3 linked regions of the Nothobranchius furzeri genome follow. The main gene of each other region encodes a partner of the protein of the gene in region 2 in a complex. Links are inferred from orthologs where the notes say so. Each region holds a gene or a part of one and is shown on either strand. Other genes may lie near its edges. The genes, in order: coro2aa, hdac3 and gps2.

Region 1 (3,648 bases), on a different chromosome or scaffold from region 2:
GGGTTATTTGCTTACAGGTGAAAGGAACGTCAACCAGATGTTTTCCAAACTTGAAGCTCGCATGAGAACTTTGTGTAACTTTTCCTAAAGTTTGAGACTTTTAAACGTGTGTGTGTGTGTGGTCATGGACGTAATTTTCACTTTAGAAGTGGGGGGGACCCGGGGGGGGGGGGGGGGGGGGGGGTTGGAGGACAGTTATCTGATGGGAAACAGGCTTCAACACAAACGGTTGTTTTCTGCTTGGTCCTAGAGCTCAATCAGTGTCAATTTAATATAGCGTAATATTGTTTTTGGATGGTTAAAAAGTGCAGGGGTCAAAATTTGACTTTGGAAAAAGTGGGGGGGACATGTCCCCCCTGTCCCCCCAAAATTACGTCCATGTGTGTGGTCCTTACCCAATCCTTTCTGAGGTACATGTGAGCGATACTCCGTTAGAAAGTGGATGTAGGGTTTTTCTGAGCTGATCTCATAATATCTGATGTTTCCATCACCCTGTGAAACAGTGAAACTCTTGTGAAGACAAGATCTGATGCAGTATTTTGGATTATGAATCAGTTTTGGATTTACCTTGCCAGCTAGGTAGAGCATGTGTGTGTCAGGGTCGTAGAAAGGGAAAATGACCCCGGAGGAACCATCCAGGTTCTCCTGCAACAAGGGCCCCGACAGATCGTCCTACAAACACACACGAAGATTACGAAAAATGAAATGCACAACAAACAAGAAAATCCCCCTGATATGAAACTACTGAATCATTTTAATCCACAGCTGTAGAAGAGCTGAATTAAAACTGAGTGCTTCATCTCTAATCCATGTTCTGCTTTAATCCCCCGCCCACGATGCACACCCACCCCTCACAGTGCAGACTCCCGGGTGTGGTCAGAGCGCTGCGTGGGGAAAGGTGCAACTCTGAATTTATTTCATCTTAAACTGTGGCAAGTTCAGGTAAACTGATGAGAGGTTTAGTTATTATCTGTCCACTAGATGGCAGCATTGCACATCACACTGAAGCTACACACCTGGAATGATTTCAGTATCTGGTGAGGGGGCCTAAATCTCATCACCAATGAAACCAGGGTTCAGTAAATTAAAACAAGGAGACAAAACAAGCAAGGATACTTTAAAAATCAAAGTATATTACAGAGAACAGAAAATAAGAATTACAAAGAAAAATAATAATTGAGATCATCCTTCCAATAGCAGCTAGCTTAAGGGCTGCGACTAGACTCATAGAATCTGGGGTTATAATACGTAACCAACGTTCTTTGCACTAAATCTTTTCTCAGTGGTCTAGTGGTAGAGTGTCCGCCCTGAGACTGGGAGATCAGGGGTTCGATTCCTGGTCGGGTCATACCAAAGACTTTGAAAAAATGGGACCCAATGCCTCCCTGCTTGACACTCAGCATTAAGGGGTTGGATTGGGGGGTTAAACCACCAAATGGTTCCCGAGCGCGGCTGTGTCTGCTGCTCACCGCTCCCCCAGGGGATGGGTCAAATGCGGAGAACAAATTTTGCACACACACCTGTGTGTGACAACTAATGGGACTTTAACTTTAAATCCCTCTCACATAAAGCTATTTCAGTTGTTTTATTCTTAGCATTTTCAGTACCTTCCAGAATGAGCCGTTTCAGGGCTCTGTCACTTTAAGAAAACAATCTGGAGCTGGACACGCTCCCCCCTCCCCCACTCAGGCTGCTGAAAGCTGAGAATCTCTGATATCCAGGGGGGCTCTGGGGAGAGCCACTGCTCCTCCGGCCGCAGCTCTCTCTTGCACATGAAAGGCGGTTCTATCCTAATTTGTGATATCACAAATGGGGACTTTTTGAATTGGCTTATTTTAGGCACATAATTCCTAAAACCAAACACTGACAAAGAACGTATGGATGGATTTCTTTCATGTTTAGAGTGGTAATAGAGGCAGTGAAGACCCACATGGCAGCACAAAAGGATGCAAAAGCTGAGTTTTGCATTGTATGTCCCCTTTAAAAACAAATCTTTGTTTTTGGATATCTAGTAGTTAAGAATAAAAGTCTCTTAACAAGTCAAAATAAAACATTTTAAATAAAATCCAGCCTCCCTAAATAATAAATGAGTCCAAACAGAATTATAGCAGAAGAAGCTGATGTCCTCTTTAGGGAACGTGGGGTCCCGTGGAGCTAATGATGAGCAGAATCGAGTCATAATCCACATTTCTTCACAAGAACAGAAGTAAGCCAGTTTTGTCTGAGTTGTCATGATGTATTTAAGAATAATCTACAGAAAATGCCCAAGCTCAGAGCAGCAGAACAGATAAATATTTGTAAACGGGCCCAAGGGCAGCAGGTCTCACCTGATCCCACAGAGCGATCTGTCGATCGTTGTAGCGCGAGGTGCCAGACGTCAAAAGCATCTTCATGTTTCCAAGAATCAGCACCTTACTGGCTTTGTGTGTTTTGCAGTTACCTTCCTGCAAAAAAGGGTTAGAAAAGACAACAAAAAGTGAAGGTCTCCCATCTGAAAGACCTGATGGTTGAAGTAAATATGATGGATTGTTTTGTGAAAACATCTCCACACAACAGGTTTAAAATAAAATAAAAATATCTATTTTTCTGCTGCGGCGTTTTATTGTCTCTGAGCAAAAGTGTTCAACAGAAAGTGACAGCGGACTAAATTAAAAGTGGGTGTGCTTCAGTGGCTGCTGACCCAGAGGTCTGAGCAGCCCGCTGTGATCCAGGCCAGGACTAAGGTGTCAGTTTTGGCTGTGTGGTGCTGGATGAGTGCCGCGGTGCTGCAGCCATGGAGACTCCAGCTAACACCCGGCTGTGAGGCTCCTACAACACCGGACCAAAAACTCTAAAGTTCAATAAGTTCATTTAGCAAAACTAAAGTCCATGATTAGCTCACTAGATTTATCTCTGTTTGGATTTCCTTTAGCAAACAAAAACAATTTGTTTCAATCTTCAGCTGGATGAAAAACAAGCTACTTCCTGATACGCTTGTGCTGATCTCCTGAGCTGAACTCAAAGGTGGAAGCAACCTAAGATCAATGACTGCACGCATTAATGTGTAGCATACCTGCAGCAAGTTCCCCGAGCGAGGCTCCATCAGCCGGACCTTCCTGTCCCTGCAGGTGGTGGCGAAGAGGCTGCCATCTGTGTTGAAGGACATGGACAGAACCACATCGGTGTGGTGGCTGATGGTCCGGACCGGGTTCTTCATCACCTGCTCTGGAGAGTCCAGGTTCCAGATCATCACCTGGAGGGACACACACACACGCACGCACGCACGCACACGCACACACACACACACACACACACACACACACACACACACAAGTTTGAACCAGACTTTTAAAACGTGGAAGGTTACGACCTAGATTATATCTCTTAATGGTCCGTTTTTATTACCAATGCTAGGAAGATGATCAGCCATAATGTCATTCTGGTCAATAAGCTAACGCCTGAAGCTGGATCTAGAGGCGTGCTGTAATGGTCACAACAATAGCACATTCTGTTTATATCTCAAAGGAATTCACGCCGTTTAACACAGCTGTGTGTGTGAAAGCACACCGGAGCTGTTTGAGAGTCTCTTCATTTTGTGATTTAAGAAAGAAGCTGGAAGCAAATCTAGATTGGGCCGCAGGTGTGCAGGTGGGGTTTGTGTCACCTTGT
Region 2 (4,104 bases):
AGCTGTTAGGCTTACTTACAGCAGCAGAAAGTGTTTTTAGCATGTGCTTCAGTCTGTATCAACAGAAATTCACTGCAGCCTATGTAATATTTGATGTGTCATAATTTATTCTTCTCTATCTTGCAAATACATATTTGTGTGGCAATGTCATGCACAACACACACAACTATTAGATCCTTAAGATCAAACCCGTGTCATTCTTTTGGTCCACTGCAGTGCAGCAGTCAAAAAAAAAAAGAAAAAAAAAAAAGAATAAGTGAAGTGGCCACAAATGGCCAGGATAGAGCCCAGAGTGCTAATGTTTAAAATGTATACAAATATTATTGATTTCAATTCTTTACTGTTAATATCAACAATAAGCTTTTTATTTTGAAATTACAAGTATAAAAAAAATGCTGTTACATTTACATTTAATGCTGTTACTCTGTAATCCTTTCTTAAAAGTATGAACATAGAATCAAGTGAACAACATTTTGAAATAAGTTTAATTGGAATTTTGTACTATACAAAAACAAAACAAAAACAACAACAATGACATATTAAACAAACAAACAAACAAACACAGTCAGTGCCTTCATTTGTCCATTACATGTCAAACATAGTAGCACTGACCCTTAGTCCCTGCTCATCAGCAAGTGCTTTCAAAAAGAGCTCCATGTCCTCTGCAAACTGAAAAACAAACAGGAACATGTCCCTTGCTCCAGTGTCGTCTTCCTCTGACATGTCTCTTAAGACCCTCTGCTGGTCCCCTTGATTTAAGGACAGATATTTTGGCATTGTTTTGGACAACCCACTGCACAGCAGGACGCAGATATTCAACAACTGCTGGCTCCTGTGTCAGGTAAATGGGGATAAAAACACAGCTATTTCTCTGTTGCAGAACAGTTTTTTTAACTTCGTCTTCGTCTTCGTCTTCCTCCGCTTATCCGGGTCCGGGTCGCGGGGGCAGCATCCCAACTAGGGAGCTCCAGACCGTCCTCTCCCCGGCCTTGTCCACCAGCTCCTCCGGCAGGACCCCAAGGCGTTCCCGGACCAGATTGGAGATGTAACCTCTCCAACGTGTCCTGGGTCGACCCGGGGGCCTTCTGCCGGCAGGACATGCCCGAAACACCTCCCCAGGGAGGCGTCCAGGAGGCATCCTGACCAGATGCCCAAACCACCTCAACTGGCTCCTTTCGATCCGGAGGAGCAGCGGTTCTACTCCGAGTCCCTCCTGAATGTCCGAGCTCCTCACCCTATCTCTAAGGCTGAGCCCGGCCACCCTACGGAGGAAACTCATTTCGGCCGCTTGTATCTGCGATCTCGTTCTTTCGGTCATTACCCAAAGCTCATGACCATAGGTGAGGATTGGGACGTAGATCGACCGGTAAATCGAGAGCCTGGCTTTCTGGCTCAGCTCCCTCTTCCCCACGACAGATCGGCTCAGCGTCCGCATCACTGCAGACGCTGCAGTTTTTTAACAGTTATTCAAATGTCACTAACCATGTAATTACACTACTGTTTAAAGTGAATACTGACCTGACTGACTTCCTGGAACTTGCGCTTTTTCAGTCTGAAAATGGGCACGTGTTGTCCTTCAAGCACAGCTTTGGCTTCCTCTCTCCAGCTTGCCAGAGCTTAACAGAAAATGTTGATATTGTTAAGGTGTGTAAACTTTGACACAACATAGAACAGAAGTCAAAATATAAATACCTCCTGAGATCAAAGTTCTCCATCAACAGCAAGCACCACCATTTACGCAAGTAGGGCATGTCTGACTAAAATATTAATATGAAACATATTTAACAACTTTCAAAAGATTCAAGACTCCATTGCTGTGAAAGTAAATAGAATACTTACTATAGTATAGTCAAATGGTGCATCCAGTGCCACGTACAGAGCAGACTATTTGGAAGAAAAAATAAAAATGTAATTTTTTTAGAAGCTTAAATTAGCTTCTGTATGAATCTCAAGAAGAGAAGAGAAAAATTACCATCAGCATGAAGATCCCACAGTCAACTCCATAGTCTTGTCTTGGAAAACCCTGTATAACATTGAAAATAAAGGCTCATTAATAAAATCCCTTAAAAGAAGACTAGTGTAATTCATATTATTCACCATACACTTAAACTAGCACATACCTTCAAGTCAAAGCTCTTTTTTTCTGACCACTGCCCGGGAATGAGCTTCACTGCAAGATTCCTTTTTTTCAAGACAGTCACATTCACAAGTTAACAGACATCATCATGATGGGTGTTAAATGTTTATTGCTAATAGCACCAACTGTAACTACAGGCCTTAGGAACACGACCTCAACAAAACAGCATAACAAAATGAAAAAGTACAGTCACATGCTCACAGTTGGTCAAAATAAAGCATTTTCAGCTTTAATTTGAGGCTGGCATATTTTATAAACTAATATTTAATGGTGTTTTATGTTAAACTAAAACGTTTGAAGACCCTATTTATGTCTGAAACTCATCTAAAGACAGCATCACTGACTTGATCAGAAAGTGAAGATGAGAAATAGAATAAAATGTTGAAGCATCGTGCTGATATAGTTTATAAAAAAGCATGTGAGTGTACTGTATGTGTGAAGAATCAAGATCAGCAGAACATGATCATGCACTTAACCTGGGACACTGAACAGGTTCCTGAAAATTCTGGAACAAACCAAAAATGCTTATAAAAATGTGACCTCAAAAGTGAAACATATTGTTGGCCACCAAATCCTGCCTTTGTGTATAATGGGTCAAGAAAGAGGATTTCTCTTTTAGGTGGCTTCAGTACCTAAAAGACAGTTAGCCATGACTTCAAACCTGAAAACGATGTCATTGCAAGCGATCACAATCAAAGACTTTTGAAACTGCGTCATAAAAGCTTGAATACATCTCAGACGCATAGCAACATTCTAACAGTTTGTATGTGTCAAAAAACAAGACTTACACACAACTGGAAATGAGCAGGTGTCCAGAGAGGGAGAACTATGATGTCCATCCTCGTTTTAAAGCAATCTTCAGATGAGTATATTTTATTTTTGTGATCCTCACCTGCAGATTTTCTCTTAAAAAAAGGCAGAGTTCAAGAGACAAAACAACGTGGTTGTCCAAGTTGTGAAGCCCATCTGTCCACTCCTGGTATCTGCAGACCATGTGACACTGAGGACACAATCTATGGTGTGTTGAAACATCTGTTAAAGACAAATCACATCAATGTCAAAACATTAGTATAGGAACAATAATAACCAATTATTTCACACTGATGTTTAATCATATTCATTAAAACTTACTCTCAATCACTCCCATCATGCTGACAATCCTCACTTTAATGGTGATTAGAACAGCCTCATCAAGTTTGGGTGCTCTGGGCACACCTGGCACAACGTTTCACATGGAAAGAGCTGTTTCTGATGATCCATTTTCTGGAAGAGATACAGGAATTTTTTTCTCTTTAAAAATATAGCGTATACTCCTTTCAACGGCAGCATTGTCCTCAAAGGAAGAACTCCCCTGAGTCATCTGTGATGGGGTGCCTGATGATAGTGGTACAGTTGATTTGAAGATGTCTCTCTGTGTCTGGAAGAGATGCCATTTAGCTATGTTTTTATGAGGACACGATATTCGTGGCTTTGCACAAGCGCAATGCCAGGTGTTCCTCAGAGCATTGTAAGTCACAAATATTCTGCCAAGATGGCAGAAACTGTGTATTTCCGGCTCAAATACAGACAAACAGATCTGTGTTGAGGATCCACCAAAATCCACCCTCACACAAAGTGGAGCATGTGCCATCTGGGCAGCTTTCTGACTCTTTATGCATGTAGCAGCTTTGGCCTCTCCAAAACATTTAAGGTCCACCATTTCCATCACGATGTGCTCTTGATGAAAAACCTCCTTCACAGTTTCTCGGCAGTAATCTAGTGAGCGAAGGTGCTAATATAAACTGAAGCCTAGTCCGCTCCGCTGGGCCAGCAACTGGTATTGCTGACATTCCTCCAGCTCACATCTGATATTGTGAGACATCCCCATGTTTTCCTCTGAACGTGAACTGGCACAGAAAATCCATGGCCAGTTCTCTGCACAGCAAATAACCCTGTAGTTTCATCTACACAAACACACTGCAGATGAC
Region 3 (4,229 bases), on a different chromosome or scaffold from region 2:
ACATGGCAGCACAAAGGGATGCTATAGGTTAGTTTTGCATAATATGTCCCCGTTAAACAAAAAAAAAAAAAAAAAAAAAACGCAGTAATTTCAAACATTTTGCTCTTACAGCATCAGTAAAGCCGGACTGTTGGTTGGCGTGTTCCAGCTGCTTCTGTAGAGATATCGTTGGTGCTGGGATGTATCCTGAAACAAACAATTCCTACTAAGTAAAAAAACAAAACATCAAGCGTAGTTTAAACAACAGCGCTGGGCTGCGACATACGGGTGAGACTCACCTGACTGAGAGGTAAAAGGGCTGTGAACAGGATAACCAGCCTGCTGATGAGGGAGGTACTGCATGGCTTGAAACGCAGACGCACCTGAAGGTAAACAGATGTTTAGACAACACTTCCTGTTGTCCTCAAGCTGATTCACGTTACTGATGCCTCACCTCTGATCTGAGAACTGCTGGGGAAACTGACGGGTACTGAAGGTCCTGGAGCATAGGAGGAGGGGTGCTGGGCCTGAGCCACCCCGTAAGGCTCATGGACGCCCTGGCTCCCGCTGAACTGTCCGTGTTCTGCTGAGCCTGAACTGAATGTGGGGGTCTGATAATGGCGGGTCTACAAGGGGAGATGAAGGTATTAAGAAAAGGGACTTCTTATTTCTTCTCACTTCTGTTTACACAGAGACTGTTTAGAATAAAAATGAGTACATTTGATGTTTAGGGGAGGCCAGAGATCCTGTTGACTTACAGGGATCACAGAAGCAGAGAACAGCTGTTTGCTGCGTTCTCCCAGCAGAGCGCCGGGTCGACTGTGGCTGACTGGGCTGCCTGAGACAACAGAAGTCACAGGACAGTTAAAACTACCGCCTACAGTTCCTGACGGAGGACCAGTGACGCTGTCTCACCTGGGATACTGAGGAGGTGCTGCCCTGTGTGCATGGACAGACTGGGCTGGTAGCTGGCTGATGTCAGGGTAGTGATGTCACTACAGAAACAGGAAGGGGCACAGGCTGAATTCCACCAGTCATTAAATGATTTAAAAAAAAAACTCCATAATATTATTGGGTTATACCTCTGCTCCTTTCTGCGCCTCTTCTCTTCTTCGTGGAGAACTTTCTTGAGTTGTAAAAACAACTGATGCTTCTCCTCTTGGAGTCCCTGCAGCTTTTCTTCCATCTTCATCACCTGGTGTTAAAATACAGGCACAGCATGTTTTTGTATCAGAGCTATTAACTCTGATAACGCCGTAAGCTCCAGTTGGTACAACATTCAGCAGCACGTGTCCTAACAAAAACTCCCTTACCTCACCATATCACCCCATCCTCAACAGCTTCATTGGATTCCACTGCAAGCCAGGATCGATTTTACAATTCTCCTGCTCACCTTCGAGGCCGTCCATAACCTTGACCCTCATTACCTAACAGATCTCCATGTCGTCACCTCGTCCCGTTCCCTCAGATCATCCTCCTCCTTCATCTCTCTGTGCCCTCTGTACGCCTCAGCGCCATGGGGAGTAGAGCCTTCTGTTTCATCGCTCCCAAACTCTGGACCTCCCTTCCCCCTCGCATCAGGAACATAAACTCACTTACTCGATTCAAAACCAGCTCAAGACTCACCTCTTTTTTAAACCACCCATCTACTTTGAATTTTAGAGTGCCTTGTTTATTTTCTTTCCTTGTACTTATGTTTACTTACTTACTTATTTAATAAATTTGTGTTTTTATCATGTACAGTCACCTTGAGTGTATAGAAAGGCACTTTTAAATAACATTTATTATTATTATTAACAAAAATAAAACAAGCTGAAGATGGAAATGTGATTTTTATGTTACCAACCTGTTCTTTGGTTTCCTCTAACGACATCCTCTCCTCTATCTCCTTTGTCCTCTTTCTCTCCTCCTCTTCCTTTAGCTTCTGCTCCATCATCTTGTCTACTTCCTCTTCCTCTGAAAATCACATTATTAAGCACGCAGAAAACCTACATTATTTAGAGAAGAATAAACACTAGATAAATGTAGACACATTTTGATAATTAAATGAACATTTTCATCGTTTAGATCAATTGCCTGTTGATGTTTGTGTCTTGGAGCAAAAATTGTCTAGTTTAGTAACCAATGACTGTAGAAAAGAACTGGATGGGGATGAGAACTGGGATTTTTTTTTAAAAGGACTGAGATTCTAGAACAGAATGGAACAAAATCAGAATTGTACAGAAAGTGTATTGTATCGGCTACAAGTTCAGTATATGGTCCGTTCAGTCAGAGAAGCACCAACACACCTTGCCTCTTGCGCTCCCTCTCCCTCATGATGTGCTTGTGGAGGGCTCTGGCCATCGCGTTAGACAGCTTGGGTCTCTCCAGCAGTGCGGGCATAGTGACAGGCAGCGGAGGGGCCAGCTAGTGTGGTTAAGAACATCATTACAGGGTCACCAAGCAGACCCGGAAATCATTACATTGGGCAGTACGTAGCTAGCGTGTAGCAACTCCATAATAAAGCACGAGTAAAATGGGATAAAATGCTATTAGCTGTAGGCTAGGCTAACAAATACTGTAATACACGTTATTATGAATATTTCTAACTTAAAACTCTCCTGCAAACACGAATACATTTTGAAACACAAGCTATGTGCTTCTTCACAAGCAAAACTGTGACAAATTAGTTTTTTGGGGACACATAGGGAGTTACGGTTTGCTAGCTAGATGCAAAGCACGTCGCCGTGTTGCCTGGTTTAGATCGACTTTACTTGAATGTCAATTTGCAAAATGTATTTAAACTTACTTTTGTCGTTTTGTGAGTCGTTTACGAAGAATTTAAATATGCTCCAGTATTCTATCTGTGGCGTATTTAGCTTAAACTTCTGCGCAGGTATAAATGAGCAAGGAGCGGTTTTGGGCCCGGGTGAGGAAGTCAATTTGCACTTTCGGTGGTGATGTTTCCTTCGCAAAGCATCAAGGGAATTGTAGTTTTACCCGTACTATTTATGAGCTTGGAAAATGGACAACATCCTTCATGGTTTTGACCAAGAATCTTTGTTCATTATCTGAAAACCTTAAAATAAGTACATCACACTTAAAATGTTTTTAGAGTTTAGCTCTTTGAAAAGTACTGTTGATTTAGAAAAGAATAGACTTTATTGATCCCACAGTGGGGGGAAATTCACTTCTCACAGAAGCACAAACGCTTAAAAGAATTATTTGAAGAACAACAAAAGGTACATGTATATATAAACACAAGCAGTAAGCTATTATCGTAACCTTCGACCACTAAAAACCATGAATGAAAATTTAAAAACTTGGGTTCCAGAACTATGCAGCATACTGCAAGTGGTCCATGCAGTCAGATGTTCGTCCGCTCCTGCACCCCTCATCTTCTGCTGCAGTAGACACGGCTGGACGTGTTGAAAGCACTTGAGAAGTCGAAGAACATTTTTCTCAGTGCTTTTTTGCACCTCAAGGTGTCGGGGCCTGGTGCTGCAGGTAGATGAGCACGTCCTCCACCTCATGTTTGGTTTCTATGCAAATTGCAGTGGATCTACTTCCAGGCTCACCATTGAACGTAAATGGGTAAAGATGAGTCTCTCCATAATCTTCCATCAGATGGGAGATCAAGGCGACTGGTCTGTAGTGGTCTGGTTCCCAGGGATGTGATGTTTTGGGAACTGGAACCACACAGGAGGTCGTCCACGTAACGTGGACCTGCTCCAACTGAAGGCTCAGGTTGAACATGTGCGTGACATGTGCGTCTTTGAGCACTCTGGGGCTGATCCCGCCAGGACCTGCAGCCTTCCTGCTCTTAAGCCACCTTGGTTCTCTCCTCACCTGGTCAGATTTAGGGGGGGTGGGGGGTGCTGAGGGTTGGTAGTGAGAGGAGATGCTGTTGAATGGTGTAAAATTTGTAAAATATGTAAAATTATTGAATTGGAATGTCCCACCGCATCTTACTCTGGATTTGTGTGTGTGATTAAGAACATTCAATTAGAAAACATGTACCTGATGAGCAATTTTCTACTATTAGAATAAAAAGTTTGTGTTTCCTGGTTAAACTGAGCACCCTCAAATCTTAAGGCAGTAAGTCACACCTTTCAAATAGAGGAACAGAATCTAAAGGCTGAACAAAACTGACGTTTGAACATCAACAACTGCTGTTCAAGATCCAAAATTCAATAAAAACCACAAATAGATTTCTAATAACATTTTATCAAGTACGGCATTGAATGGAGAGAGAGAGCCAGTAAAGCAGC

The links.
Region 1: hdac3 (region 2) and coro2aa share a complex: the UniProt entries of both Homo sapiens proteins name them as parts of the N-Cor repressor complex. The link is inferred for Nothobranchius furzeri from reciprocal best matches to the Homo sapiens genes HDAC3 and CORO2A.
Region 3: hdac3 (region 2) and gps2 share a complex: the UniProt entries of both Homo sapiens proteins name them as parts of the N-Cor repressor complex. The link is inferred for Nothobranchius furzeri from reciprocal best matches to the Homo sapiens genes HDAC3 and GPS2.

The regions. Positions count from the first base shown.
Region 1 is NC_091744.1:13,219,327-13,222,974, reverse strand, and holds part of coro2aa (coronin-2A), read right to left. Parts: coding exon 3,644-3,648; intron 3,233-3,643; coding exon 3,053-3,232; intron 2,445-3,052; coding exon 2,328-2,444; intron 673-2,327; coding exon 568-672; intron 493-567; coding exon 396-492; intron 1-395.
Region 2 is NC_091741.1:31,103,585-31,107,688, reverse strand, and holds the start of hdac3 (histone deacetylase 3), read right to left. Parts: upstream 2,905-4,104; 5' UTR 2,121-2,904; intron 2,024-2,120; 5' UTR 1,973-2,023; intron 1,885-1,972; 5' UTR 1,840-1,884; intron 1,758-1,839; 5' UTR 1,693-1,757; intron 1,617-1,692; 5' UTR 1,519-1,616; intron 1-1,518. UniProt on the Homo sapiens protein: Histone deacetylase that catalyzes the deacetylation of lysine residues on the N-terminal part of the core histones (H2A, H2B, H3 and H4), and some other non-histone substrates.
Region 3 is NC_091742.1:53,237,791-53,242,019, reverse strand, and holds the start of gps2 (G protein pathway suppressor 2), read right to left. Parts: upstream 2,908-4,229; 5' UTR 2,768-2,907; intron 2,386-2,767; 5' UTR 2,362-2,385; coding exon 2,268-2,361; intron 1,936-2,267; coding exon 1,826-1,935; intron 1,175-1,825; coding exon 1,062-1,174; intron 975-1,061; coding exon 895-974; intron 818-894; coding exon 738-817; intron 606-737; coding exon 434-605; intron 363-433; coding exon 279-362; intron 187-278; coding exon 110-186; intron 1-109. UniProt on the Homo sapiens protein: Key regulator of inflammation, lipid metabolism and mitochondrion homeostasis that acts by inhibiting the activity of the ubiquitin-conjugating enzyme UBE2N/Ubc13, thereby inhibiting 'Lys-63'-linked ubiquitination.